Sus scrofa: one gene and its partners. The protein of the gene in region 2 interacts with the protein of the main gene of each other region in a pairwise test. Links are inferred from orthologs where the notes say so. Each region holds a gene or a part of one and is shown on either strand. Other genes may lie near its edges.

Evidence for each region.
Region 1: the proteins of SDCBP2 (region 2) and LYAR interact in binary tests that used the Homo sapiens proteins (3 or more experiments, as listed by UniProt). The two-hybrid records come from large-scale screens. The link is inferred for Sus scrofa from reciprocal best matches to the Homo sapiens genes SDCBP2 and LYAR.
Region 3: the proteins of SDCBP2 (region 2) and PRR13 interact in binary tests that used the Homo sapiens proteins (3 or more experiments, as listed by UniProt). The two-hybrid records come from large-scale screens. The link is inferred for Sus scrofa from reciprocal best matches to the Homo sapiens genes SDCBP2 and PRR13.
Region 4: the proteins of SDCBP2 (region 2) and ZRSR2 interact in binary tests that used the Homo sapiens proteins (3 or more experiments, as listed by UniProt). The two-hybrid records come from large-scale screens. The link is inferred for Sus scrofa from reciprocal best matches to the Homo sapiens genes SDCBP2 and ZRSR2.
Region 5: the proteins of SDCBP2 (region 2) and YTHDC1 interact in binary tests that used the Homo sapiens proteins (3 or more experiments, as listed by UniProt). The two-hybrid records come from large-scale screens. The link is inferred for Sus scrofa from reciprocal best matches to the Homo sapiens genes SDCBP2 and YTHDC1.
Region 6: the proteins of SDCBP2 (region 2) and ZCCHC17 interact in binary tests that used the Homo sapiens proteins (3 or more experiments, as listed by UniProt). The two-hybrid records come from large-scale screens. The link is inferred for Sus scrofa from reciprocal best matches to the Homo sapiens genes SDCBP2 and ZCCHC17.
Region 7: the proteins of SDCBP2 (region 2) and EIF1AD interact in a two-hybrid assay, tested with the Homo sapiens proteins (3 studies listed by BioGRID and IntAct). The two-hybrid records come from large-scale screens. The link is inferred for Sus scrofa from reciprocal best matches to the Homo sapiens genes SDCBP2 and EIF1AD.

The regions. Positions count from the first base shown.
Region 1 is NC_010450.4:6,084,056-6,088,097, forward strand, and holds part of LYAR (cell growth-regulating nucleolar protein), read left to right. Parts: intron 1-2,409; 5' UTR 2,410-2,466; coding exon 2,467-2,588; intron 2,589-3,770; coding exon 3,771-3,885; intron 3,886-4,042. UniProt on the Homo sapiens protein: Plays a role in the maintenance of the appropriate processing of 47S/45S pre-rRNA to 32S/30S pre-rRNAs and their subsequent processing to produce 18S and 28S rRNAs. Also acts at the level of transcription regulation.
Region 2 is NC_010459.5:33,965,455-33,969,987, reverse strand, and holds the start of SDCBP2 (syntenin-2), read right to left. Parts: upstream 2,914-4,533; 5' UTR 1,774-2,913; intron 1-1,773.
Region 3 is NC_010447.5:18,658,891-18,663,713, reverse strand, and holds the start of PRR13 (proline-rich protein 13), read right to left. Parts: upstream 2,901-4,823; 5' UTR 2,680-2,900; intron 2,624-2,679; exon of another isoform or gene 2,379-2,623; intron 2,211-2,378; 5' UTR 2,191-2,210; coding exon 2,172-2,190; intron 1,588-2,171; coding exon 1,159-1,587; intron 1-1,158. UniProt on the Homo sapiens protein: Negatively regulates TSP1 expression at the level of transcription. This down-regulation was shown to reduce taxane-induced apoptosis.
Region 4 is NC_010461.5:12,356,702-12,360,743, reverse strand, and holds part of ZRSR2 (U2 small nuclear ribonucleoprotein auxiliary factor 35 kDa subunit-related protein 2), read right to left. Parts: intron 2,692-4,042; coding exon 2,478-2,691; intron 1-2,477. UniProt on the Homo sapiens protein: Pre-mRNA-binding protein required for splicing of both U2- and U12-type introns. Selectively interacts with the 3'-splice site of U2- and U12-type pre-mRNAs and promotes different steps in U2 and U12 intron splicing.
Region 5 is NC_010450.4:66,096,084-66,100,125, reverse strand, and holds part of YTHDC1 (YTH domain-containing protein 1), read right to left. Parts: intron 2,280-4,042; coding exon 2,178-2,279; intron 1,812-2,177; coding exon 1,483-1,811; intron 1,363-1,482; coding exon 924-1,362; intron 1-923. UniProt on the Homo sapiens protein: Regulator of alternative splicing that specifically recognizes and binds N6-methyladenosine (m6A)-containing RNAs.
Region 6 is NC_010448.4:87,878,250-87,882,780, reverse strand, and holds the start of ZCCHC17 (nucleolar protein of 40 kDa), read right to left. Parts: upstream 3,055-4,531; 5' UTR 2,920-3,054; intron 1,955-2,919; exon of another isoform or gene 1,854-1,954; intron 1-1,853. Other genes in the region: SNRNP40 (U5 small nuclear ribonucleoprotein 40 kDa protein), read left to right, coding at 3,241-3,384.
Region 7 is NC_010444.4:6,337,527-6,340,478, reverse strand, and holds the end of EIF1AD (probable RNA-binding protein EIF1AD), read right to left. Parts: intron 2,533-2,952; coding exon 2,388-2,532; 3' UTR 354-2,387; downstream 1-353.

The DNA of each region.
Region 1 (4,042 bases), on a different chromosome or scaffold from region 2:
TTAGCGGGCGGGCGGGAGGCCACCCTGCCCCTCTTCGAGATCAAGTATAAAAACGCAGCCCTGGCTCCGAGAATCCAGAGGAAGGCACTGTGAGACTGGGCTCTGACTCTCTGCGAGCCACCCATTCTACCTTAAAAAAATAAACCAACAGATTTCTAAATGTGAACATCTGCCACAAAAGACCAAGTGAGAGGGTTGGAGGGAGAGGTGTTCTTCCCACGGATGTGACCGCGTGTGGCTAATCCCCAGAGGAAAACGTGTTTCTCACATATTCCGGGCATCTTTTCGGTCAACATCTCTGGCTTCTTTCAGTTGATAGACGTAGTTTCCAGCTTGTCCCCCCGACCTTCCATCGCAGACTGCAGCTCCCTTCGGCATCTCAACGCTTGCCTTCCTCCTGTCCCCTCTCCCCTCCATCAAGACACAGAATAGACCCAGAAATGAGGGTTGGAAAGCTCTAGGCCATAGCTTCCATTTGACAGGTATTTTTTTCATTGTGGAACCTCGTTATGGAAGTACATTTTAAGTTTTGCAGCAGACAATTTGGCTCATCTTTGCAGCTGCTTCTGCCTTGTGTGTACAGTGACAGTCCATTTCTTGGTGACTGATGGTTTACGCTCCTGCTTAGGCCACAGTGCCCCTAGCGGCTGGTTCCTTCACCGTTGCGGTGTGGGCTCGTCTTCTGTCCTTTGTTCTCCTTGAGGGGGCGCTGGCTGCTCCTGACGCCTGCTGGTAACCGCCCCCATCAGTTCCCGTCCTGGCTCAGTTGTGGCCCAGCGGGTTAAGAATCCGTCTAGTATCCATGGGGATGTAGGTTTGATCCCTGGCCTGGCTCAGTGGGTTAAGGATCCAGCGTTGCTGTGAGCTGTGGTGTAGGTCGTAGTAGACTTGGCTTGCATCTGGCGTGGCTGTGGCCTAGGCCGGTGACTGCAGCCTGTGGTCTTGTCCGTGTGGCTCCCAGAACAGCCAGGTTTGCTTTCCTCTGGATTCCCTGCTAGGCTGTAGCTGATCACGTGTCCTCTCCTGCTAACCTACCCATGGTGAGCAGAGGAAGGGGTCCTGGGGTCAGGGGCCTGAGTTTTGTATGTAAAACAAAGTTTTTCCAGGTAAACTGCCCTCCAGCAGGGCCCCTGGGTGCAAGAGGCCTCCAGGAGAGACCCCCAGGGCGGGTCTTCTTTCACCCTGCAGCTGCAGCCAAGGAGGTACATTTCCATTCAAGGCGGAGTGCGTGGAAACAGCCCTGATCCTTGCTGCACTGTGCCCTCTGCGGCAGAGCCTCAGAGCCGGGGAGGGGGGTGGGGGAGATGGTGAATTCACGCAGGAGAATTCTCCACCAACTCATTCGTGCTGAAGCATCCACAGATGAAGTCCTAGCCTGAGACAGGTTATACTGTATCAGTTTACTTGATCCTGACCTTCGTGGTGGGGAAGCAAGTGCTGGGCCGGACGGTTGTTCTCCATACTTACAATGCAAAACGACAGCCGTCTTTCAGAACAAAGTGGTCGGGAGATGGCGTAACCCTGGAAATGTCCCCTGGCTTCTGGCATGCTTTCAGATGAAGTCATGTTTTGCTGAGCACACCTGTCTCCGTGAAACTTCTGAATGGGAGTTATGTGTATGTGAGGGCCCCCTTAGCCACGGGGCAGCGCTCGGGAGCCCTGGGTTTGGGGCGCCCTCCAGTGACCCAGCGCCCGGCCTAGGGACACCTGGATGTGAGCCAGTAAGGGGCCATAGCCATGCCCGTCCAGTCAAACCGAGGGGAGCGTCCTGCTCTAACACCTGTGGAGACATTGTTAGGCCTCTGTGGATGCTTTTTGTGCAGTTATTTTTAGGCCTCTTCTCCACTTTTAAACCTCCCCGTTTGCTGTGTCCTTATTGTATTTGGGGGCCTGAAATAGTCCGCAGCACATACCTCGGGGCATTAGAGAGAAAGAGGACACGTGTGTGCCCTTCAAGTTACTGGAAAAGGCAGGAGATTTCACTTGACGCGCCCCCAATGCTTCATCTCCAGCGCCAGCCCACAAAGTGTAAGTCCTGGTTCTGCCCCTGTGCCACCTTGGGTCAGTTACTTAACCTCTCTGAGTCCCAGGACCTCGTGTAAGGTGTGAGCCTCGGTAGTCCCTCCCTCAGGGGTTGCTGCGAGGGTTAAATTGGTTGGTTAGTGCTTGTTAAGCTCTTAGACTAGGGCCCGGCATGAATTACTTCACACACACAAGTGTTAGCCATGTTGTTGATAATTTTACTTGCTGTGGTGGTGGAGTTTTATGTGGATTGCTGTTCAACTTTGGTTCTGTTCTGGTGTTATTTTCCGATGAAAAGTTAGCTGTGTGAATCATATATTTTGGAATAGAAGTTTCAGATTGCAATGATAATTACCTTTTTTCCTTTTTAATTTTTTTTTTCCCTAGAACAAGACTTAAAACCTGTCTTGGATAAGAAATATTTAATCAATCATTTAGCTAAAAATGGTATTTTTTACATGCAATGCATGCGGTGAATCAGTGAAGAAAATACAAGTGGAAAAGCATGTGGCTCTTTGCAGAAACTGTGAATGTCTTTCCTGCATCGACTGCGGTCAAGACTTCTGGTGAGTTCCAGAGGGTTCGTGTAGCTCCATGGTCAAGGTCCAGGCCAGTTTGGAAGCCCTGGACCCACAAAGCATTAAAAAAAAGTGGAGGCAAACTTGAGGAAAGAAATGAAGGGAAAAAATTACAAGTGCCTTACAAGACCATTTGCTTTTAAGGGTGATTTACAGAGATGACTCGGGTTCGTTTGGAGATCTGGTCGGCCGGTGGCACTTGCTGTCATTTCCCTGCGGCCCTCCAGATCCAGGGAGGGGACCACGTGGAGTAAGGTTTCAGGGTTTCAGGGCATGGTGTGGCGATCGCAGCCGAGAGATGGACGTGCAGACCAGAAAATGAGTTTATTCAATCATTAAATCATGAGAGAGGAGACCAGGTCCTCCCGAGAAAATTGGAGGTCGTGTTGGCCGGGAGTGCGTGGGGGGCTCTGGCTGAGGGGTCTTGGGGAGGGGCCAGGTCTTGCTCTTGTTTGGGGGGGCCATTTGCTGATGGCTCGCCTCCCTCTCGTGCGGGTTCCTTCCAGCTTCAGAGGATTCGGGGATGGCAGCCTCTGGGGCACGTGGGGGATGTTTGCTAAGAGTCCCTTTAAGTTCATTGTAAAGCAGTGATTTTTTTTTTTTTAAGTTTGGAAACTACTAAGGTCTTTGTTCATCCCTGATCGTAGGCGGAGGGTGGGGAAGACAAGTGAACACAGGGTTGGTTTTCGTCGGGGGCTTTGGCCTCAGCCTTGTCCCAGCATTTCCCAGAGGATGGCACAGAGCTTCAGAAAGAGCGTGTGAGACAGAACCCAAGTTTCCTTTTGTCCCAAGACTCCAAGATCCAGGACTTTTTTGTGACCTGATATCACCGCCCTTTTAACTTACTCTGCAACTGGTATTGATTGCCTATCATATTGCCAGGAAATCCTACGGATTTTGTCATTTAAGATAACGCCACCCTATTGCCTATCAGTGATTTTAACACCTTTGTATATGAAAATGGGTGGCAAGTTTGGTGACGGGTTTGGAACAGTGGGGAGGAAGGAAACTGGTATGACCAAGAGGTTATCTGCCTGGTACGTGACAGAGATGGGGGGCCGGGCCGCGCACAGATGGGAAGGTGAGCTGCACGGCAGAAGGGCAGCATGCTTGCGCTGGACAGAGCCTCTGGTTTGAGGATCACTAATGGTGGGACTTTGACACTTTAAGGGGTGACGACTACAAAAACCATGTGAAATGCATAAGTGAAGATCAGAAGTATGGCGGCAAAGGGTATGAAGGCAAAACCCACAAAGGCGACGCTAAGCAGCAGGCGTGGCTTCAGGTAAGGTCTTTCTAATGCCTCAAGTAGCTTCATCTGTCATCTTCTACTTTCCTTGGAAGCCTAAGAAATGAGGAAAAATGTATCATTTAGAATGGATAAGCAATGAGGTCCTCCTGCATAGCACAGGGAACTATATCCAGTCGCTTGGGATAGACCC
Region 2 (4,533 bases):
GCCCACCCCCATCTTTGGACTTTGGAGTGAGAACACTCCTTTGGAACGCTTTGTTCCAAAGAGCTGAAACTACAGGACGCCCACTTGTTCCTGTGGACAGCTCATCCATCCTTCAAAAGACTGTGCGGGAGGGAAGCGTGGGTTAGAGTGTCAGAGGAATAGCTCCTGGAAGGCCAAATTAGCCCAGAGAAATGGTGAGTCGGAAAGGAAGAGGCTGTTGCTAGGCCACCAGCATGTACTCCCCTCCTCTCAGGCTGTACTGCCTGCTGGAGGAAAGCTGTGGACTTCTTCAGTGGATGCAGATACACTCCCGAATCCTTGTCCAGGAGGGGCAGAGTGGGAGCAAGGACCTCAGAGGCAAGCAGGATGGGTTCAGACTGCTGCCTCTGATTTAGCAGAGCAAGCATGGACATGTCCTTTTGGCATGTCGTTTATCTGTAATATGCTTAACAATACTTGCATCGCAGTGTTATCGTAGAGATGAAAAGCTTCTTAAAAGAGATAAGACATATATGGGAAGCACTGGCACATAAAGGGTACGCAGTAGTCATTAGCTGTTGTTCATGCAGTACATTTACTGAGTGCCTAAGTCCCAGTACTGTTCTGGGTACCAGTAATTAGGCAGGGAACAAAAGAAAAATCTGCCCTTGAGTGTCACGTCCTAGCTGAATAAGTAAGTGCCTGTGCAGTGTTAGGTGGTAGGACGTGATGGGGAGAAAGATGAAGCAGGGCGGGGGCGGGTGGGGGAGGTAGACAGAGCCCGGAGGTCCCGAAGAGCCTCCCTGCTGGGTGGGGGAGATGGGGGTGGAAGATGCCTTTTGAGTGAAAGTTTCAATGGGGAGGGAGAAGCGTTGAGGCTGAGGGCACAGCCACGGCAGTGGCCCTGAGGTGGGAGTGCCTGTTGTGTTCAGGAAATATCTGAGCAGGGAGACCAAAGTCGGTTGTTGAGAGGGGAAGCATAGGACAGGCGACTGCAGGGGTGGTGAGAGGGGCTAGATCCAGCAGGGCCTGTGGGTCATGCTGAGGGCTTGGCATTTACTCCAGCGAAATGGGAGGCACTGGAGAATGTTGAGCAGCAGAGTGACGTCTAACTTTCATTTGGAGGATGGATTAGAGGGGCCCAGTGGGCAGGGAGCCCAGCTGAGAAGTGATGCGGGGAGAGCTGGTGGGAGTCTGGGCCAGCGCAGGGCCTGCCCGGCACACAGCAGCCCCATCTTAAGCACCATTTTCTGAGGCTCACTGTGTGGAGGGCACGTACGGGGCCCTTATATCCATTACCTCATTCAGTTCCCCCGACTGCGTGGGAGTCTCCACAGAGGAAACCAGCTCTCGGGTCAGGCCGCCGGCCCAGTTCCCCAGCAGGTTTTCCTGGCCGTGGCAGGGAGCTTGTGGATGGAAACAGCTTCAGGCAGAGAAGTAACAGAAACTGAGGCCTGCACTCGGCTCCTTGTGGAAAGTGCTCTTTGCCCTGCCAAGGGCCCATTTCAAGGAGCAAAGTGTGGGTCCCAGCCGCGAGCGCAGTCCCGGGCAGACTGAAGGAGCCTGGAGAGTCCTAGCCATGTCTGGGTGAAGATCACCCAACCGTCACACCTGGCCCGGGGCTGGGGTCAGAAGAGGAAACCCCAGTTCATGTTTCACTGCCAGAGAGAAGCACCCTGAGAGGAAAAGGCCTGAAAGTCCCCAAAGGGTTGGGACCAGGAGGGAAGAAGCCAGGAGAGAGCAGGTCACGCCGATCCCTTCCGGAGCTCTAGGGGCCCCGCACCCGGCTCTTACCTGCAGCCCAGGTGCTGCTGCTTGTCCTCCTCCAACCACTGCCAACGGAGTCTGTTCCTCTCCCTGGAAGGCGGTGGCCCTTGTTCCAGCTGGGTTCCTGCTCCCCGGTCAGCTGACTCATCCAGGACTGGGATGGGCCCAGGTGCGGCGTGGTGGCTGGGGCAACCTGCCTTAGGTCACCAGGTCCAGAGGAGGGCTGTGGCCTTAGTCTGGATGTGGAGGTGGGGATGGAAGCTCACACAGCTCCTCTTGAGAGGGGTGTGAACCAAGACTTCCTGGCTCGAGGTAACCGAACTTGGCTCAGACACGTAGTCCTGCTGAACATCAGGACAGATTGATGGGTCTTGAAAAGTGGCCGTACCTTGTGACCTACCATTTCCTTTTCTAGGAATTTGTCACAAGAAAATAAAACAAGTAGCCAGTGAGGTCTCGGGGGCCCATCACTGTGTTTCTTATAACAGGGAAATCTAGAAATCCCCAAATGTCCATTGCCAGGGTCTGGTTAAATAAGGCAGCCTCTGTGGAAGGTCATAAAGCTATCAGCGTTGTTGATAAGGAAGGAACCAGGAGGAAGTGTTCCGGCAAGATATGGAAAAGTCAATATTGTGATAATCAGCTTGTCTTTTGTTTTCATTTTTCCAAAAGTGAATAGATACTGCAAACTGTCTGGGAGGACAAAACTGAAAAGGCTGGAAATCCAGATGGTGGGGTGGGGTGGGGGTTGTTAGTTTGTACTTTTGTGTCTGTTTCAGGGTGGTGGGGTTTGGTTTTGTTAATCTTTACTTTGAACGTTCATGATTTTTGTAAGGAGGGGCCGCCAAATTAAGGTTAATTGTTTTTAGGAGTTCCCGTCGTGGCTCAGTGGTTAACAAATCCGACTAGGAACCATGAGGTTTCAGGTTCGATCCCTGGCCTTGCTCAGTGGGTTAAGGATCCAGCGTTGCCATGAGCTGTGGTGTGGGTCGCAAACGCAGCTTGGATCCCGAGTTGCTGTGGCTGTGGTGTAGGCGGGCAGCTACAGCTCTGATTCGATCCCTAGCCTGGGAACCTCCCTATGCCTCAGGTGCGGCCCGAGAAAAAGGCAAAAAGACAAAAAGAAAAAAGAAAAAAAAAAGATTAATTGTTTTTAGGAGGAATTTAGATGGGTTGTCTCCGGGAAGAAGTAAGGGGCTGAATGCTGTGGTGGGAGGGGCTTTTTTTCATAACATACTTTGGGGTGCCTTTTAAATTTTGAAAAAATTTAATGTATTTAACTATCCCCCAAAATCAATCAAACAGAAAAGGGGGAGGAATGTAGTTGCAGTCCCTGTGGGTTGGGTTGTACAGAGGTGCCTGGGGAGGGACTGGCCCTGGTGCTGGGCAGTCCCCTGAGGAATGACGCAGGGCAGCCGCCCAGGGCGGGGTGAGTGTTGGGGCTGCTCAGCAGGCCGGGTGGCCCATGTCACAGTCCCCGTGACGAGCCTGGGCAGAGACGCACCGGCCTTGGGCGCATGTTCAGCCCCAGAGAGGAGGCCCTGCCGGACTCAGAGGCTTCCAGCCGAGAGCCACACATGGGAGGGAGTCGGAGGGGGAACAAGAGCAGGAAAGGCAGTTACCAGCCAAGGAGCCCTCCCTGCCTGCAGAGCGCGGTGCTGTACAGTCACAGGCTTGGTGGCTCCCGCCATCCCGCAAGTAGGCAAGAGGCAAGGTCCCTTCTCTGAAGTCACACAGCTGCACATGGCTCCAAGGTCCTGTTTTCCGTCTGTGAGAAAAAGGCACCTAAAGCTGAGGCAAGGACACACCCGAGGCTGAGCCATCTGGGCCCGAAGCGCCGGGGAACCATGGGTGTGGACCCTCCTTAGGTGGGGTTCTCAAGGGCAAAGTAGAAAATAGAGACTGAACCAAGTGACACCCCACCCTCCACACACCTCAGTTCACCCAGTCGAGGTCTCAAGGGGCTTTTGGAGAAGATGGAGGAACCAGAAGGGTGAGGAACTTGCTTGTGGTCACCCAGCACGTCCGCATAGACTTGGGACTAGAACCCACGTCCTCTCACCCCCACCGAAATGCAGGGGCTCATTCCATTCCCTGGTGCTACAGCTGCCTCCACCTCTGACTTCTCCCCAGCCAGCCACCCAGAAGTCCTTTTTCTTGGCACGCCCTTGCTCAGAGTCTTCAGTGACATCCTGCTGAAGGGTCAGGGAGGGAGGGTCAGGGTCAGGACTAAGTTCGGGGGCCTGACAGTGAGCACTCCATGGTCCAGCCCCCTTATGACCATTTCGATTTTGTTCCCCCAACACGTCTACCCCAGCCAAGCCACATCCGCTCCACTCCCACCTCACACCATACCTTTGCCTGTGCTGCTGCTTCTGGGATGCCCTCCCCCTGCCCCCACTCGGCCTAGCCAGATCCACTGAGCGCCTCTTCCAGGAAGCCTCCTGATCCCCCACCCTACCCACGTGGCCAGATAAGACCGTCCTGTGGCTCTTTGATAGGAATCATCTTGTATTGTTCCCATGTCCTTAGGCTCCCAGTTAGACCCTAAGTTCCTTGAGGGTAGGGCCTTGTTAGTAGATCTACAGTGGCTGTTTTCACAATAAAAACTGGAATCTGTGCTCTGACCAGGATATGATTCTGCATTGTTATACTCATGTGTGAACAGTCGTCAGGAGTCTCAAAGGTGGGGGTGCAACATGCAGCGACACTCAGCAGTGTCCTAACGGCACCCTTTGCAGATCTGAGTGTTCCGCCATCATTTCCCTTCCTGCGCAGCCCAGAAGC
Region 3 (4,823 bases), on a different chromosome or scaffold from region 2:
CTTGCTCAGTGGGTTAATGATCCGGCGTTGCCGTGAGCTATGGTGTAAGTTGCAGACTTGGCTCAGATCCCGCGTTGTTGTGGCTCTGGCGTAGGCCAGTGGCTACAGCTCCGATTCAACCCCTAGCCTGGGAACCTCCAAATGCCGCGGAAGCGGCCCAAGAAGTAGCAACAACAACAAAAAAGACAAAAAGACAAAAAAAAAAAAAAAAAAAAAAAAAATTTGCTAAGCAGAAAAATGTAAATTAAGGCCTCCTTAAGATCAAGGTTGCCCTAAAAATTAAAAAAAAAAAAAAAGAAGAAGAAGGGGGAAAAAAGGGAGTTCCTGTTGTGACTCAGCAGTAACAAACCCAACTAGAATCCATGAGGATTCGGGCTCAATCCCTGGCCTCACTCAGTGGGTTAGGGATCCAGCGTTGCTGTGAGCTGCGCTGTAGGCTGCAGACACCACTTGCACCTAGCATGGCTGTGGCTGTGGTGCCTGATTCAACCCCTAGCCTGGGAACTTCCATATGCCTCAGGTGTGGCCCTAAAAATTTTTTTTAAATATCTCAAGGTTGGTTCAATTCTTCCAGAGTTGGTTCTGAGAGCTACTTTTACTACTTGGTCCTGAGAGCTACTTGCTAATTTACACTCCTCTGGCATGAAGATACTTAGCCTGAGACTGAGCACGAAATTGAGGGTTTTATTGGAGCCTGAGTCACTGACTGCTCTTGTCCTCAGTTTCCCTGCTGGACAAGAAGACCTACGTAATTAATACAACAAGCTGAGAACAGTGAAGGAGAGAAAGAAATTCCAGGAACTAGGACCAGATTATTATCTATCATTACATAAGACTTTGCTTGGCCAAAGGTCTTGACATTTGACCACCTCAGTGGGTGTGTCCCACTTGCCAGAACAAGCATGGGGGTGGGGAGGCCAAAGCTCTGGGAAAAGAAAGGCAAAAAAGAAAAGCACCTGATTCTGATAGCCATTCTAAGGCTCAACATAGCCCCTGGCAGACAGAAGGCCCAATTAGCCTAATAATTATTTTCAAGATTATTAAATTCTTCGCAGTGGGAATCCTTTACAAAAAGGAAGCACCATCTGCCAGAGTAACACAATGCCCTGTCCCAAGTCCTCAGACTGTGAATCCCCATTCCTTGTCCCTGCCACCTACCTCTCTTCCCACCTCCAGCCACCCTAGTCCTTCTGAGGGGGCACCTCTTCCTAGCCAGGCTCCAGAGGGCACTGACCTTGCCATGCTTGTGGTGTTTGTGCTTCTTTTTATGAGCTTTCTTCATTTTCTTCTTCATCTTCTTGTCCATCACCATGCCTGGTCCTACCATGCCAGGAGCCAATGGATTCACAGGTGGCATGCAAGGGGCAGGTGGTGGGTAGGGACCTGAGGGCTGGCATCCTGGATGCCCTGGCTGTGGCACAGGATAACAAGGCCCGCCAGGGGGAAAAGCTGGATTCCCCTGGGGCACTCCTGGAGGAGTGGGAAGGGGGCCTGGAGGAAAGGGAGGGTTGGCAGATGGTGGATGGGTAGGATGGCAACCTCCAGGGTATCCAACGTTAGGCGGGTAAGGATTTGGCCCTGGCTGCCCTGGTGGAAAAAGCAAAGAATAAATTTAAGATTAGAACTGCCCAGAGCTTCTGACAACAAACAACAAAAAGAAGGGGATTCCATTTTTCACTCAATACTTAAAGGAAAATGGAGGAGTTCCTGTAGTGGCTCAGTGGTTAACGAATCCCACTAGGAACCATGAGGTTGTGGGTTCGATCCCTGGCCTCGCTCAGTGGGTTAAGGAACTGCAGTGAACTGTGGTGTAGGTCGCAGACGCGGCTCGGATCCCGCGTTGCTGTGGCTGTGGCGCAGTTGCAGCTACAGCTCCGATTGGACCGCTAGCCTGGGAACCTCCATATGCCGCAGGTGTGGCCCTAGGGGGGAAAAAATGTAAAGCTGAAGAAAGAGGAGCATGGAGGGGAGGGGAGACAAACCTATACAAGAGAAAGAAAAGGTAACGTTCCCTGGAGACAGTGAACTCTGGGGGAAGACACTGGGCAGCTATGGACTTTGCTTTTTTGTAGGTTAGGGCAGAGGTGGAGGAGAAACGGACACAAACTTCCTGTTGTGGCCCATCCGAAAAGGGACTGGGGCAGGAGAAGAGATTCTCCCCAAACACTTACCGGCATTGGGATTCCACATGTTCAGGGGTTTTCACCAGCCTGAGGAGAAAGAAATGAAGGTTAAAAGCTGACGGCCCAGAAGTGGGTGGGTGATTTAGACACCAAGCCCAACTTCAACGCCTCCTGCCCCACTGTAGGCTCCCAGGGAACTAACAGGTTCGCTACATAAGAAATGTCTCCTTCCACCCGCTCCTTCGCCCCCAATACCTAGTTTCCCTCCACCTTCCACTCGCTCTGGCTGCGGATTCTAACTCCTCGGGAGAGGGGCTGAGTGCGCGAATCTCGCTATCCCCATCACTCCTCTCCCTTTCCTTGACCGAGCCCGGAAGACTTTAACCACCATAGGCTGCGGAGGGATCTGAAACAACTTCACCATCCCCAAGGATGGGTGACGGGAGACAGGACCCCGCACCCCAGGCTAACAGAAGGACCTGCCTGGAGGCGAAAGGAGGTAAGGCAGCTCAGGAAAGATCCTCAAACGCTTATATAGTTAGACACACCCTCTTACCCTTTAAAAAAGGCAAGTGGAGACCCCGGCTCCCCAGCAACGAAGGGGCGTCTCACCCAGGAATGGAGAAAGAAAGGAACAGAATACTGACGTCCCGTCAGCTTTATACCACCGCCTGGGCGGAGGCGTCCTCCGCAGCCTCCACTCTCACTTCCCGATCACCCTCTCACGTTAGGCTTTGGCATCCGCCTCTGCTGCCTCCGAATTGGTAATATAACAACATTGGGCTTTAGGATTGGAGAACATGCTCGTCAATCACTCTAGTCCCCACTAGGCTAAAAGGCAATGGTTGCAGTGGGGGCGGAGCTGGGCGCTCTGGGGTGAGGCCGGTGCAGAGGGCGAGCGGGCCGGAAATGCCTGGGGGCGGGGCTATGGGTGGGCGGGGCCAGCTTCAGAGCAAGTTCGTGAGTACCTAGAGGAAATTCAACCCTTGACCTCTGAGCTCTTAGTCCAGTGGGTGCCACACCTTATAAAGTAAATATACCATGATAAATGTTGTACAGATATATATACACAGCTTAAGGAAGGGCGGGGAGCTGCCGATATTCACCCTAAAACTCAATATTGCCGCCTCTGTCAGCGTCCATAGAAAGTAAAGAAACATTCTTGGGAGAAATACAGAGATTTCTAATCTCTCCTAGGATTCCCTGTATCAACTACATAGCTCCGCCATCTGTCGAATTGCACAAAGCAGAAACGCCGGAGGTGATCCTTGATGGCTCTCTCCTTCACCTTCCCCTCTTCCCGCTCCAGCATCGGGAAGGGTCCGTTTGTTTCACGAATAAATCTGAAATTTCTCTACTTCTCTTCAATCTTCTCTGCTTCCAGCCTACCATCATATCTCAACGGGAATGCTGCAATGGCCTCTTCTTCTTTTTTTTTTTTTTTTTTTTTGGCCTCATTCACCACATATGGAAGTTCCCAAGCCAGGAGTCAACACTTGCCATAGCAGTGACCCAAGCTGCTGCAGTGACAACCTGGGATCCTTAACCTCCTGTGCCACAAGGGAACTCCATTCTTTTTTCTGAAGGAAGTACTAAATAATATGCCACTATTTGGATATTCCACATTTAGTTTATCCATTCATTAACTGATGGACATTTGAATTGTTTTTATGTTTTGCCTATTATGAATATTGCTGCTATGAACATTCGTGTACAAGTTTGTGCATAATCATAGGTGTGACCGTGTTTTCTTTTTTTATTTCAGCATAGAAATTTATTTAAATTCGAAATTACATGGTTAGGAGTTCCTGCACGGTTCACTGGGTTAAGAACTGGACTACTGGAGTTCCCGTCGTGGCTCCGTGGTTAACGAATCTGACTAGAAACCATGAGGTTGTGGGTTCGATCCCCGGCTTTGCTCAGTGGGTTAAGGATCCAGCATTGCCATGAGCTGTGGTGTAGGTCTCAGATACAGCTCGGATCCCACGTTGCTGTGGCTCTGGCATAGGCTGGTGGCTACAGCTCCCATTCAACCCCTAGCCTGGGACCCTCCATATGCCGTGGGAGCGGCCCAGGAAATGGCAAAAAGACAAAAAAAAAAAAAAAAAAAAAAAAAAAGAACTGGACTACTACCCATGAGAATGTGGGTTTCCCTGGCCCCATGCAGTGGGTTAAGGATCTGGTGTTGACATGAGCTATGGTGTAGGTTGAAGATGGGGCTTATATCCTGCATTGCTGTGGCTGTGGTATAGGCCAGCAGCTGCAGTTCCACCCCTAGCCCAGGAACTTCCGTATGCTGCAGGTTCGGCCCTAAAAATAAAAAAAAAAATTACATGGTTATATTTGTTTGTTTTAATTTTTGGCCACACCCATGGCATGCAGAAATTCCTGGGCCAGGGACTGAACCTGCTCCACCACTGTAACCAAAGCCACAGCAGTGACAACACTGGATCCTTAACCCACTGAGCCAAGAGGAAACTCCTACATGGTTATATTTAGAACAATGTAGTAATTATCTAAAACATATACCATCCTTGGCTCTAAAACAGTTCTAAAGATGTCATTCTTTTGAAGTCAAAAAAAAAAAATGTGTGGTAAGAATGTACAGGGAGCAAAAATACAAAAAACAAGTTTGCGGAGCATTGGGTGTTGTTATGAGAGACACACCAAAATAAATGTAATAGCCTCCAAATTATCTAA
Region 4 (4,042 bases), on a different chromosome or scaffold from region 2:
AATAATATTTATCCCACATCCTTTTTTTTAAGATGTAATCATGTAAACTTAATGACTCATTTTAAACTGCTGTATACTGGATATATCAGATTATCAGATTTATTTATCCACTCCGCTAAGGAGGAATATCCAAGGTGCTTCCAATTTTTCATCAATAAACAGTACTGCAGTCAGCATGCCCGAATGGTAGGACTTCGTCTAGCCTGCATGACCGGAAGTAGGATGCCGATTTATAGGCTACACGTACCTTTAACCTTACTAGATTATCGACAAACTGCTCTCTAACGTGGTTTTATTAATTTACACAACTCGCCCACTCTTGGTATTAGAATGCATACTTTTTTAACTGATGGGTATGAATAACATCTCATTCGAATATGCACTGTCCCATTACTAGTGAGGTTGAATATCTGATCATTTGCCTTCGACAATGACAAACCTGATTTGGTTTTATGTCATGGTATAAAAAGGTCCTCAAATTTTCATACTAATACTTAGCTTTCATTTTCAAAATAAATCTATACTTTTACAATTTTGTTCCAGAGTATTTTTATTAGAGCATCCCACGAGAGGCAGGAGCCATACCGACTGACAGTTTATAACACCATTCTTAGAGGGAAGACTGAAAGGCCTCAGGAGGCCAATCAGCCACACCAAGGACTTTAGAGGTCATTTAAGCCAACAGTTCCTAAGACCTGTTATTAATTTTCTATGGTGAATTTGATATTTTGGAAATTTTTCTACTGAAAATTTATTAAACAGCTTTCCATTTATAACTGCCAATGTGATTAGCTGAACTTGGCTGACAGAATCCTCAACAAAAGGAAGCAAAACACCCCGTGGTTAGCAAGTGCGGCCGGTTGCACTCGCAACAATGGGGTGATTTCCACTGAGCAGTCTGAGGTTTTGAAAGCAGCTCCACCTCTAATTTCCCAGAAGCAGTATGATGTAGGGACCCCACAAGAACACTGATGGAGTACTTTCGGGATGAGGACAAGGTACGAAGAGGTACAGTGCCGTGTTCAAGAGCCCAGGACTAGCCAGCACACCAACTCCTCAGCAGTGCTTCTCATGGGCACCCAGATGCGTGTGGCTGGGCACTTCCGCTTGAGTGTTTATTGGCTGCAGCGAGAAACAGTATGAAGACAGGAAAGTGCACGCAACAGAAACAAAAGGTAAAGGGAAAAGAGCAACTGCCAAAGAATTTTTTAAAATCTTGAAATCAGTAGAAAGGATGGCCTTGAATCTCAAGAGTGCTGCTGGTTAGCAGTTGCTCTGTTCCTTGGCTGTTCCAATTCCCACTGTCATGTCCAACTAACAGCAAAAAAACAAACAAACAAACAAACAAAAAAAAACTTCAGAGCTTTATTCCTATCTTTCCCAAATTATGGGCCATTTCCCCCATCCCAACATAATGAAATCATTCAGGTTCAGATCGGATCAAATTGCAGACAGCAGAAGGCTTCCCTGTGTCAGGATTCAAGCCCGGGAGCAAGTCATTACAGCTGACTTGACTCTTGCTTTAAAGAATGTTAAAAAATAACTCTGTGTCATCTGAATGCCTTTTACCCCCAATGCTGCATCCCAAACTATTAAGAGAAGACAACATTAAAGGGGGGGGGGCAGGGGGAGGCGGAGATCCCGTCGTGTCACAGCGAAAACAAACCTGACTAGGAACCGTGAGGTTGCGGGTTCAATCCCTGGCCTCACTCAGTGGGTTAAGGATCCCGCGTTGGCCCGAGCTGTGGTGTAGGTTGCAGATGCGGCTCAGATCTGGCGTTGCTGTGGCCGTGGCGTCGGCCGGTGGCTACAGCTCCGATTAGACCCCTAGCCTGGGAACCTCCATATGCCGCAGGTGCGGTCCTAAAAAGACCAAAAAAGGGTGGGGGGGGGGCATCACGATTTACGTTCTTGGGTAGCCCAGAAGGAAGGACATGCACCTTGGGTGGAAGTTGCAAGCAGGCACGGTCAACACAATACAGCAAGGACAAATCAACAATCTCGGTGTGTGGAGTTAAGTTGGGGAATGTTCCACTGCGCAGGCCGGGCTCAGGGGAGACCGACCGTGGCGGGGAGGGAGGCAGCGCGTTCCTCATGGCGCCAGCCTCTGAGTGAACGCTGGGACAGCTATCGGCAGAGGACCTTATGCACAAAATGTGGCAGCTGGAAAAAAAGAGTTGGACCATAAAGGTACGGAATGGCTGAAAAGATCCTTTCCCCTGAGAACCCAGGAACCGGCATGCTGGGACCCGGTCATGATTTCATGTGCTACCTCCACCTTCTGGGCAACGAGGAGGGTGGAGAGGGAGAGAAACGGGAGTAAACCTTCCTTCCAACAGTGGGGGGCGCCGCACCATCACGCTCCGCCCCACCCAGGCCCAGGGCCTGTGCCCCAACTTTCTCAACGCCCCTCCCACCCCCGCGCTTCAGGGAGAAGTGAACCCGTCCGCTCCGCCACGCGCACTGCGCATGCCCACCTTGAACTGGACCACTTTGCCCACGTTCTTGAACTCCGGGAGCACGTCGTCGTAGAAGTCCAGGAACTGCTGGTAGGTTTCCTCCTCGCTGTACTCCAGGCTTGCGTCGGGGTCGTAGTCGTCCCTTCTGCACTGCTCCATTCCAAATGTCGTAAACATGCTTTTAATAAGAAGGGTGGGACTTGATGCCGGGAAATTGTGCTTACGTGAACACCTGCGTATGAAGGAAAAACTTGAGTGGTCCAGTGGCGGAAAATCGCACGTAAAAAGCTGGCTTTACACTCTGAGATGAAAAGGCTCAAGAAATACAGCTGTTTTGACAGAAGTGCCAGATGACAAGCCACATTCAGACTTTAAATTTCAACACTCAACAACACTGTTCTCAGGCTGACCAATTTATTGGATCTCATTAAAATGTAAAGCTGAGAATTACTTCCAAGCTCAGATGCCATTCGGCTGTCTTTTACTGAGGTTCAGGAGGCCTTTCACATGTGGCAGCACAGGGAAAGAGGAAGCTCATGGGCGTGACATACCCCGATGCCAGGCCCACAGACATCATGGCGGGGGAGGGGGTGGGGGCGCTCAGGAGAAGGTGACAACAGTGCTACCCTGGTTCCATACAACTGCCAACTAACCCAGCACTTAGAGAACAGGGTATTGTGAGAGTCTCAGCTAAATGGAGAGCATTCCAGAGTGTTCATGGCATTTTTATATTTTTTCCTCTGATCCTGCCAACTTGCCAGGACAGCTAAGACTAGTATTTAATTCACTTTGAAAGAAGGGAAGTGAAGCTTAGAGAAGCATAGGTACCCACGTCACATGGCTGGGGAGAGAAGATTCCAGAGCTAAGCCATAGTCTACTGCCTGTTGGTTATATGATGTGCTAAATGTCGAGTTGGGTTTTAATGAAGGTTAACTATTGTGAAGAGGAATTTTCTTTTCTTTTCTTTTCTTTTTTTTTGTCTTTTTGCCATTTCTTGGGCCGCTCCCGCAGCATATGGAGGTTCCCAGGCTAGGGGTCCAATCGGAGCTGTAGCCACCGGCCTACGCCAGAGCCACAGCAACGCCGGATCCGAGCCGCATCTGCGACCTACACCACAGCTCATGGCAACGCCGGAACCTTGACCCACTGAGCAAGGGCAGGGACCGAACCCACAACCTCATGGTTCCTAGTCGGATTCGTTAACCGCTGCGCCACTGACGGGAACTCTGGAATTTTCTCTTTTTTAAAAAAAAATGTTTTAATTATAGTTCGTTTACAACGTTCTGTCAATTTCTGCTGTACAGCAAAGTGACCCAGTCACACATACATATATATACATTCTTTTTCTCACATTATCCTCCATCATGTTCCATCACAAGTGACTAGATATAGTTCCCTGTGCTATACAGCAGGAATAATTTTCTTTTTGTAGTTTAAATGAGACCAGGTTGTAAGTGAATAATTTTTTAAAAAATCTTTTATATGAGTTTAATTCCTTATTACTTCCTTATAAAATAAAATAGAGAAAAATAGATTTCACAATTCCAAATCACCACAATCTTCCTGATTAGATTTTTAATTT
Region 5 (4,042 bases), on a different chromosome or scaffold from region 2:
GTTGCCAGGAGCTGCGTAGGTGGCAAACTCAGCTTCGACCTGGCGTTGCTGTTGCTGTGGTGTAGGCCAGCAGCTACAGCTCTGATTAGACCCTTAGCCTGGGAACCTCCATGTGCTGCAAGTGCAGCCCTAAAAAGACAAAAAGAAAACAAAAAGTCTCAGGGGCAGATAGAAATAAAGTGGCAGGGCATGTAGTACTGAAAGAATGACCCAAGATGGCTCCTACCCAGCCCCTCCAAGAATTTTATGCTCTTATTTTTCATCTTGTACCTTCACACCCAGCCCTCTAGAGACCCCGATCCAGTCAGTCAACCCACGGGTATAGAACTGAAAGAAAAGCTATGCTCCCAAGATAAAAATAAGTTGTTTTTGTTTGTTTTGGCCACATGTGGACGTTCCCAGGCCAGGGATTGAACCCATGCGCCGCAGTTCAATGCTGGATCCTGAATTTACTGTGCCACAAGAAACTCTGAAAGTAAGTTGTTTTGATTTTTGTTGCCACACGATGGAAATCTAGAGGCATTTAACATGAAAATATTGTTAACGCCTAGAAGACAGGTTCCACATGAATATACTTCAAGTACATCAGTGTTCAAATAAGCTGTTGTTTAGTATGGAAATCTAAGAATAACATTAAAACCTCAAATACATTTCCTTAAAGAGAAATAATTAGACTAACATACATTTATAATACAATTTGTAGCTGGGAAACACTTTTACTAAGCTATGTAAACCTTATTCAAATGCATTTATAATACTCAAAAGCATACCATGTCAAAAAAAAAAAAAAATCATAGGGCAGTCTTATTAACATTCCCCCACTGCCTCAAAAATTTTATAATTCAATTTAAGCATGTTCAAGAAAAAAAGTTAAGTCAATCGGAAAAAAAAAAAGACAAACCTTTACACATAAAAGTCAGTACCTGATCCATCTGTGCCTGAACCAGATCTGACAGACCCATCCGTGAAGGAAACAGACTCAGAATCAGAGTCGCTAGCCTCACTTCGAGTATCATAATCATTTCCCTCTTCCTTCTGGTCTCTCTCATCCTGTTCATATTCTTCTTCTTCCTCCTCCTCCTCCTCCTCCTCCTCCTCCTCTTCCTCCTCCTCCTCCTCTTCCTCCTCCTCCTCCTCTCCATCTTCATCCACCTCTTCATCTTCTTCTGCATCTTCTTCTACCTCTTCATCTTCCTCCACATCTTCTACCCCTTCCTCCTCATTCTCCGTGTTGTTGCCTTGCTCATCAGAAGAACCACTGCTGCCAGTCTCATGATCAGAGCCATATTCTTCAGAGTTCACTTCTTCCTTAGAAGACTGGCTGGATCTGCTTGCACGTCTATCCACTTCAAGCCCAATTCTCTGATGTTTAAAGAAAAAGGGAATCAGCAGTCATATAACAGACAAGGTCAGAGTGAATAAATAGTTCTAGCCTCAAAAAAGAATTGCTTTCTGTCTTATATCTGTAATAGTATTTACTACCTCAGAACCATCTGGTGTAGGGGATTTGACCCTCCTTTCAGAATCCCTTTTCCGCAGACAAGTTTTTTCAGGTTGACTCTTATAAGGTTCTCTGGAGGCACTGCTTGACAGACGAATCTTCCGATCAGCTTCTATACGCTTGTTTCTTTCAGATCTTTGATACTCCTCATTTTTATACTCTGTGACTGACTTTCCTTTTGTACTAGCCATTCTTTTGTTATTGCTAACTGATGAGCTCAGTGGCTTAGAAATCAACTGTCTTGAATGAACAGAAGGCTTCTGTCGCTTTGTGTCAGTAGACTCCATTCGGTCACTTTTTCTTTTTGATCCTTAAGAATAAAATTTAAAAAAAATATATAAAAGAGTTTGAGTATTTGACTTATTTCAACAAAGTTTAACAGGTAAATCTATCGGAGGAAAAAAGTCTCATTTCTTTAAAATGTCCTCTGAAGTATTTTTACTCCAAAGTTAATCATAAAGAAAATACAGCTTTCAAGCACTGGAATAAAATCATTTATTTGAGACATTTCAAAACTTTAAAAAAAATATATTACTTTTATACGGAATTGGGTACCGTTTGTTATGATTGTGCTTTTGGTGTTAAGCGCCATAAAGAATAAGTACAAAAGCAAAGACTCTAAGAAATTAAACTGCTATTTACACTGCTATTTTTAACAAAAATAAATCTTACATACCCTTTTTCTCATTTTTATCTTGTTCACTCTCTGGATTATATAGTTCATCATCCTGTTCCGGTACTTCAGTCAAAATATCATCTAGAACATTAAGTTCTCCATCTGAAAGCAAGAAAATTAAAAGTAATAGGGAAAAACCATTATTGTCAAGCATTTATTTTTGAGTATTTACTATGTCAAAACTACAGAAATATGGGAGTTCCCGTCGTGGCGCAGTGGTTAACGAATCCGACTAGGAACCATGAGGTCACGGGTTCGGTCCCTGCCCTTGCTCAGTGGGTTAACGATCCGGCGTTGCCGTGAGCTGTGGTGTAGGTTGCAGACGCGGCTCGGATCCCACGTTGCTGTGGCTCTGGCGTAGGCCGGTGGCTACAGCTCCGATTCCACCCCTAGCCTGGGAACCTCCATATGCCGCGGGAGCGGCCCAAGAGATAGCAACAACAACAACAACAAAAGACAAAAAAAAAAAAAAGACAAAAAAAAAAAACAAAAAAACTACAGAAATATGAGACCATAACCTTCAAGGAGCTTTTATTTCAGGATCAAGACAAGAATAATTCCTATAAAATCATACAAGGTAAAGGATATGATACAGAGCTCTAATCTATAAACCAGAAGTATATTCCCCACAGGGTATAAAAGGATACACTGGGGTACAAAAAAAAAAAAAAAAGTGAGAACTTCTGTATTTTTATCTCATCCTTTAATTTCTAATTTTTGTAACTGCTTTAGAATGTGCACAATAAGTTAGCTAAAAAGACACGTGCGTAACTTTTAAATAAACATACATTCATCAAAGATTGTGAACTCTGGGAAAAATACTTATTGGTTACCATTTTATAGTGGAGAAATATGGCAGACTCCAGCTTAACCAAGTAATCAAGTTAACTCTCCACTAACGGGTCAAATCAACATCATGGACCCCCTATGTGATACACTATGAATAGAGCAATTCCATGATATGCCTATGCAAACTGCAAAATCTGAACCTATACATAAGGAAACAAACCCAAATTAAGGGGCATCCAAAAAATGCCAATGTTATGAAATACAAACACTAAGGAAATAACTTCAAATTAAAGGAGATAACTAAATACAGGGAGTTCCCATTGTGGCTCAGGCTAACCAACCTGACTAGCATCCATGAGGACACAGGTATGATCCCTGACCTCTCTTGGTGAGTCAAGGATCCGGCATTGCCATGGAGCTGTGGTGTAGGCTGCAGGTGCGGCTCATATCTGGGGTGGCTGTGGTGTAGGCCAGCAGCTACAGCTCTGATTCGACCCCTAGCCTGGGAACTTCCATATGCTGTGGGTGTGGCCCCAAAAAGACAAAAAAAATAAATAAAAATAAAAATAACTAAATATAGTACAACATCTGGGACGTAAGTGGAAAAACTAGTGAAATCTAAATTAGGTCTATAGATTACGAGTAGCAATGTTAATTTCCTGACTCTGGCAGTACTATAGTTAAGAAAAAGAGCATCCTACTTTTTAGGAAATATGTTAATAGTATTTAGGGGCAAAGAAGCAACATGTACACAAATGACAAAATGGCTTAGGAAAAAAAAACATGTCTACCTGCATATATCCACATACATATACTGAGACAGAGAATATATAGAAAGAGGGAGAAAGAGAGAATTGGAAAGACAAATGTAGTAAAATGTTAACATTTGTGGAATGTAGTTGAAAAGCAAAAGAATTCTTTGTGCTATTCTTACAGCTATCCTGTTTGAAACAATGCCAAAGTTAAGTTAAAAGAAGAAAATTACAGCTGGACTACACAATCAAAAACATTTGAAGCTGCTGGTATGGACTATAAATGTACAATTTGTTCAAATAAGGGAACTATTAACTATAATT
Region 6 (4,531 bases), on a different chromosome or scaffold from region 2:
GGATCTGTTGAGCAAAATGTCAAAAGCAGGAAAAAGAGTAAAAAGCAAGGAAAAACAAAGATAGATTCATAAACAGTGAAAGCTGAAAGCAATTCAATTATGGAGATCATTCAGCCCATTACTCTTAATTGAAAATGAGGCTAACAGGGGTCAAGTGACTTGACAAGGGCTGTTTACAGTTTTAGCCCTATTGGTACCGGACCAAAAGACCAGTACTTACTCTACTGCCCCACACTGGTCTTTCAGTCAATAATCTCTAAAGTCCCTCCCAAATCATCTAAAAATAATAGCTAATATTTGAGTGCTTCCTATTTGCCATCAACCTAAAAGCTTCACTTGTCTTAACTAATTTAACTCCCTTTCTGACCTCCCTACAAGATAGGCAATTATTATTGCTATTTTACAGATGAGGAAACTAAGACACAAGAGAAGCTAAGTTAATCTTGCTCAAGATTACAAAACTATTACAAACATGACCGATGGAGATGGGATTCAAATCTTATTTATGAGCATTTTTTCTTTCTAGACTGTGAAATTCTTCCCAGCATGCCCACATCACCATATCCTTCAAATCTCCAGTGCTAAGCACAGTACAAAGCACACAGAAATTTATAACCATCTACTGAAATACTGAACTACTTAATTTTACTCTATTTTAAATTGTTATCAATTCAGCACATTTACTGGCATTTACATAAATGTCATTAATATAAATGTTATATATATCTGTACAAGGCACTTTATAAACCTTTCGATCCTTCAAATAGTTCTACAAAGTAGGTATCTTTTTTTTAAAGGAACAAAGTAACTTGTCCAAAACTCATAGCTAGAAAGAGATAAATCTTAGGCCAGTCCAAGAGCCACACCCACTTGTCACTAAACCAGCCTTCTCAACATAGTCCCTGTCCTCAAAGACCAATTACAATGCTGGATGATCAGTGCTAAAACAGTGATTAGGTTCAAAGTATTAAGAAAACTAGGAGCATTAAAAGGTGACAACTGGGTGGGCCTTTAAGGATAAACGGAAGTCCTCTAGCTGAGAATACTGTTCTTTGACCTCAATAGAACCCCAATCTATTGACATTTATTTTCTTCCAATCTAGCAGCCCTCTCCTTTTTCTTCATTTTCCTCCCTATCCAGCTTAGACTCCACAGTCCACCATTCAAACAATAACCTAATTTCCCTTTAATGCTCCCTCTTTATAGCCCACCTAACTGGCAATATCCCTACCCTTATGGAGTACAGCTGCAGATATCAGAACCCATTCTAGCTAGGGTTAAGCAGAAATGGATTTACCGGCAGGTATTATGTGACTTACAAAATTACTGAAAGAGCTATGGTAAGAACTGGTAGAACTTCCGAGGAACAATTCCTAACCCACCTAACAGAGGGTTGTCATGGCTCAGCGTTAATGAACCCAACTAGTATCCATGAGGACGTAGGTTCCATCCCTGACCTCAGTCAGTTAGTGGGTTAAGGATCTGGTCTTGCCGTGAGCTGTGGTGTAGATCGCAGACTTGGCTTGGATCCAACGTTGCTGTGGCATAGGCCAGCAGCTATAGCTCTGATTTGACCCCTAGCCTGGAAACCTCCATATGCCTTGGGTGAGGCCCTAAAAAAGAGACCAAAAAAAAAAGTTATGGCCATCATTGCAGAAAGTCACAACACCAAAAAGCTGGTGACTAAGAAACCCACTGCCTCTACTATGGTATTTGCCAGCAAAGGAGGATGCCTCTCACCCTCCTCCTTTCCCTTCCAATTCAATTCTCATCTTAGGTGCAAAGGAGTCTAGAAAATATCTACCTCTCAGTTCCACCAACACTCTATAGTCTTCATTGCTAACAACTCTCACCTCAGCGGTCTATTTGCATTTATCTCCCCTCCAATCTATTCAAACTACTGAGCCAGAAGGACCAAGCTGCCTCCTCCATCACACCACCTTCTCCACTGCAAAATACAAAATAAAACCTCAGTGATTTCCCATCAGTCTTAAAGAAAAGCTACAAATTCCTACACAGTCTGGCTTCCACTTGCCTCCAGCTTCATCTTGTACCACACTCCCCTTTATTCTCTTTGTCCTGGCAACACTGGCCTCTTTGTACCTTTTAGTCATTTTCCTCTCATTTGCCATTGGGCCTCTGCACATGCTGTTCTATATGGAATATTCTGCCCTCCTCTCTTCCCCCAACTAATTAGAATTCTTCCTTCAGGCATAGGTTCAGGCATCTTTTTGTTAGACAAGTCTTCCGGCTTATTTCTGGCACTCAAAACACCAGGTACCTTTCCCTGGCAGCACTTACTTTGCATTCCCTATAAAGATCATTGTTGAGCATCTGTTTTTCCCATCGGACTCAAAGCCCTGAGGTCAGGGACCATGTTTGGTTCACAATGTCTCCTCAAAGCTTTGCACCATAAATATCAGTTGAACGATTAAGGAGAAAACCTACTTCACAAGTATGAGTCTGAATTTCTCAGCCAAGACTGTGCTCTGGAGACCAAGAGTCGGACATTTCCTTCATCTCTCTCTCTCTCTCCCTCTCTCTCTCTCAGGGGCACAGAGCAGGCGCTGGTAAAAGGCTGCAGTATCACGGCAGAAAGAAGTCGGCCTCCAAAGTCTGAGACGACCCTGGTGGAGGCTGGGAAACTGACCTTTTCTCCCAAGGAGCACCTGGCACAGGGCTCGACACAGAAGGCGCTTGTTAAAGAAAGCAGCCGTCGAGGGCCCCAGGCAGGCGCAGAGACCCCACTGCTCTGCTCCAACCTAGAAAGGGAACCCAGGCCACCATACACCAAGAGCTAGGAACTCAGGGGCCCCCTCTGCCCTCTGCGATCAACCCTGGGCTGAGAGAGGCCAGCTTCAGACCACACAACGGAGGCGCCGCCTCCAGATTCCGCAGCCACCCACCCCCAACACTTACTCGGAGTTAGCGTCAGGTCTCCCCGCCGCAGCATTGCGCGAAACGCCAGAACCCAGTCAGCGCGCTTCCACCCACAAGACCCAGCGCGCCGAGGCGGGACTCCAGCTCGTTCCACCAATCCTGGAATCGTACTCTAGTGACATCAGAATGAGTTGCCCAATAACTGGAGACTCCCCAGGGGGCGGTGCAGAGGGGAGTATTGGAAGCCGATTGGTTTCTCCAAGCCGGAAGTTCTAAGGGAAAGACTAAGTCGGAGCCAATCGTGCGCTCCCTGAGGGTGTCGGCGCGGTCAGTGGCGGCCTGAGGAGAGCGGTTGCCGCCATGATAGAACAGCAGAAGCGCAAGGGCCCAGAGTTGCCTCTGGTCCCAGTCAAGCGGCAGCGGCATGAATTGCTTTTGGGAGCGGCGGGGTCGGGCCCGGGAGCCGGGCAGCAGCAGGCGGCGCCGGGAGCTTTGCTGCAAGCGGTGAGTAAACGAGCAGATGGCCTTCGGCCCTCAGCTCATCTTCCTGTCTCCTCAGTGCTCCACCGTGAGATCCCGTACCGGCCCTTTCCCTGCACTGCGGGGGCGGAACGGGACTCACACCAGGGAGTTAGAGCAGAAAAACCTGTTAAAGCGGTCAACACCCTGCGATGCTACGTTTCCCCGTTTGACGTTTCAGCGTCTCGATGGCCCTGTGAGGGGGCGTTAGAATTAGTGAGGGATCTTAAAACTGGGCCCCGGGCTTTCGCATCCTAAATCTTCCAGGGATCCAGCATAGAATAAACGTTCAGGAAAGTTGAAAGAGTGGATGGATGAATGAAGGAAGAAAGAAAGGAAGGAAATGAACGATACTAGCTCGCTTTGGGACTTGGGGCAACTTGCTTTGGGGAAAACTCTTTCTCTGCACTAGTATTAACAACTGAAGAATAGGTAACACTTATTGAGCCATGTACTAAGTGTTTTGTATATGAAAACTCCATTAATCTTGGTCACTGCCTAAGAGGTAGGAATTGTTAATTGTCCCATTTTGTAGATGGGGAAACAAACTTCTCTAATAAGTGATAGAAACCGATTTTAAAATCAGAATCCAGGCTTTTAACTAGAGTTCTTATAAGATAGAGGTAGTGATGGATGACATCTCTCCTTCTGCTCTATTAGGCTTAGCTGAAGAATATATGTCCCCTCCTGAAACTCCTCAATCAGGCTGTCAGCAAATCTTTGCTGGCACCATCCTTAAAATAAACCCAGATTTGTTACCACTTCTAAATATCTCCATCACTACCTCCTGATCTAAGCTGTTATTCTCTCACCTAGTATTCCTGCTGTAGGATCCTGATGGCATTCCTGTTTCTTTTCTCAGATGCTCATTCTATTCTCAGTCCAGCAGCCGGAGGAATCCTTCTAAACATCAAATCATGTTAACCTCTGCTGAAAACATGCCATGGCTTTTCGCTTCACTCAGAGTAAAACTAAAATCCTAACAACCTTTTGCCCTCTTTCCCTTGACCTCTCTGATCTACCAATTTTCCATTGCTCACCTTACTCCAGTCACATTGGCTTCTATGCTCCTACCACACACAAAGCCTTTGCATTTTCTTTTCCCACTACTGGAGTGTTCTTTTTCCAAATG
Region 7 (2,952 bases), on a different chromosome or scaffold from region 2:
GACATGTAATTTCAGAAGAGCCCATTTGTGACAAATAGCTCTAAACTCCCTAAGTCTACATTGAACTAGAAAGGTGAAAGACCCAAATGAAGACAGTATCTTTAAAAAGAACACACATAACTCATTTCTGGATGGGAAGATTCAAAACTGTTAAGTACCACTTCTCTACAAATCAAACTATGAGATTTAAAACGATGCCAATGGAAATCTCATGAGAACGTCTCGACGAGAATTGACAAGTTCACTCTAAAGTTCTTAGGTATGGTGGGGCAAAGGTGAGGGGGAATGAGGTATCAATCATGCTATAAAACATGGCATGTGCACATGTATCAACAGACCAGATTCCAAAGAGATCCAGAAATATGCAGGCACTGAATTTATTTTAAAAAGACATTTTAAATCAGTGAGAATGAACCATCCAATAAATGGTACAGGGACAAGCGGCTATCCCTTTAAGAAAAAAAGTCAGCCATCTCCCATAATACATAAACTTCAGACAAGTTAAAAATATACTCACACACGCATATCTTTAACTCACCTGGTTAGCTTTTTGCATTTAGATGCATATTCATATATTTCTATTATGTGTGTGTACACCTACACACACACACAGAGTATACATTTAAGACTACACTAAGCAAGTGTAAAAGCAGGAAAATGAAGTGGTAGCCAGAGGACGTGGGATCAGTGACAGGTTTCATGGTTGTTTTTCAGATGGGAGCGTCTACAGCGTGTTTGATGCTGACACATGCAGTAGAGAGGATGGCAAAACCTAAAACTCACATTCGTCCTTAAACAGGAAGGGACAGGCTCCAAAGCACAAGAGGGAAAGCCCAAGTCCCACTGGAGCAAGCCCGGGCAGGAAAACGGCAGGAAGACACATTTGCAGGGTTGGTAATGGGGAGGCGGTAACTCCCTCCCAGGGCTACTATTTCTTCACGAAGTAAGAGCTGCGGTGAGTAACCAGAAGGGGAGGGGGAACTGGCAAACAAGAGAGTCTTCAAGTGAGACATCCCAGGCTGGACCTGCTGGGCAGTGCTGAGCAGCCACTGTGGTTTGCAAGTATGAATTTAAGGTCCAACGAGTGAGCCAGGTCGGCGGTCTTCCCTCACAGTTACTTGGGTTCAGGCACAGAGGTGTGTGACTGGGCTGACCAGGGGCAGGCTTTACGAATGAGCGTAATGGAGGGAGAGGGGGAGTCCAGGGTGCAGACACAGGGCAATGATGCTGCGCAAGGAGGGGAGACAGGAGAATGATGGTGAGAATGTTGCAGGGCCGGAGGACGAAAAAGAATTTCTGCAGAGGAAGTAGCTGAGCGGGTAAGCAAGAAAGCCAGGAGGTGGCGCCGGCACTGGTGTTTCGATTCAAATGGCACTGCAACTTCTAGTAATGTCAGGGGTCCGGAGTGACCAGGGATACAGGAAACAGGCCTAGAATAGAAGACAAGGGCACTAGTGACGGGGAGATCAAGGAACGAGGGGGCCATGGTGTGGAACAGCCCACCCATGGGATGCAGAAAACAGTATCAGAGGCAGGGGTAGAAGACTCCAAGCCAGGAGGTAAACCTCTATGTCTGAGCAGTGACTAAAAGGTCAATGCCAGCGAAGAGGAGAGAGAATGTACAGTCAGAGGGAAAAACCTTCCAAGGAGAAATGGGATGATGTGGTTTGCAAGGGGACTGAGCAGTGATGGTTGGAGTAGCCAAAGAAACCACCAACCAGGAGACGTACACAGCAGCAGGGAAGTGGGCACTCCTGCATCATGTGACTAGAAAGCCGGGGAAAGCAGCTTGCGAGGCACTGTGAAACTCTCCCTGAGTGTCTCTTGGAGGCAGGTGGGCACCAAGTCCCACTGTGATCCTGAATGCCTACACTGCCATTAACTGCAAGCAGGCAATGGGGGAAGGGGACACTCCCAGTTCTTAAGCACATGCAGGCCTGGCACTTACTAAGAGCCCAGTGAGCGGAGGAAACCTAGGAAAGATTCCAGCCATTCCTGCCCATGAGGTTACCACCAAAGAGCAGTTTGGGTTTTTTCGGCTTTGCCCGCAACAAGCTGAAGTTCCCAGGCCAGGGATCAAAGTCGCCCAACAGCCGTGATTTGGGCCACAGAAGTGAGGTCCGATTCTTAACCAGCTAGGCCATCAGAGAACTCCCAAAGGGGCCGTTTTTACCCACATGTCCCTCCTCCCTCCAGAGAGCCACTCTGACACCAGCTTAAGTCACCACCCACCAGGGGTTTAATTCTCCCATGTCAGAAGGTCAGTTCAGAGAGGGGCCCTGCCTTGTCCCCATCCAGGGGGAAAGATCTGCAAAGCACCCTGGGAATGTCCAAGCTCAGAGGATCCAAGGGCGAGTCTCAGCCAGAGGAGAAGTGGGTCCGGGGTCTCAGGCTGCCTCCTCCTCTTCGCTCTCCTCCTCACTCTCATGATACTGTCTGCGGTTGGTGTTAACAAAAAGGTCAGAATCATCTTCAGAGCTGGACTTGTCTTCTGACAACCGTGGCTCAGCTGGGAGTTCTGGCTGAGTCTGTCTGCGTGAGGGAAATGGACAGAGTTAGCCCAATGCCTTCTAGGAAAACCAGACCTTCTATCAAGGAGCGCCACAAAAAGGAGGACCATGTGGCTTGATGAGTCAAACAGGGAGCGAATCAGAGCGAAACAGGCTAATAACTACCTCTCCACCCCCAAGCCTAAATAAAGGTTTCTAGAGCTACTAATATACATACATACACATATTCTTTGGCTGCATCTGCAGCATTTGGACGTTCCTGGGCCAGGAATGGAACATAAGCCGTTAGAGTGACAACGCTGGATCCTTAACCTCCTGTACCACCAAGAAACTCCTAGAGCTACTAATTTTAATAATATCAACTCCAACTAACACTCAATGAACCCACGTTGCTTACCAGATAGTATACTAAGCACTTTTAGAACCAACAGCCTCTGTAATT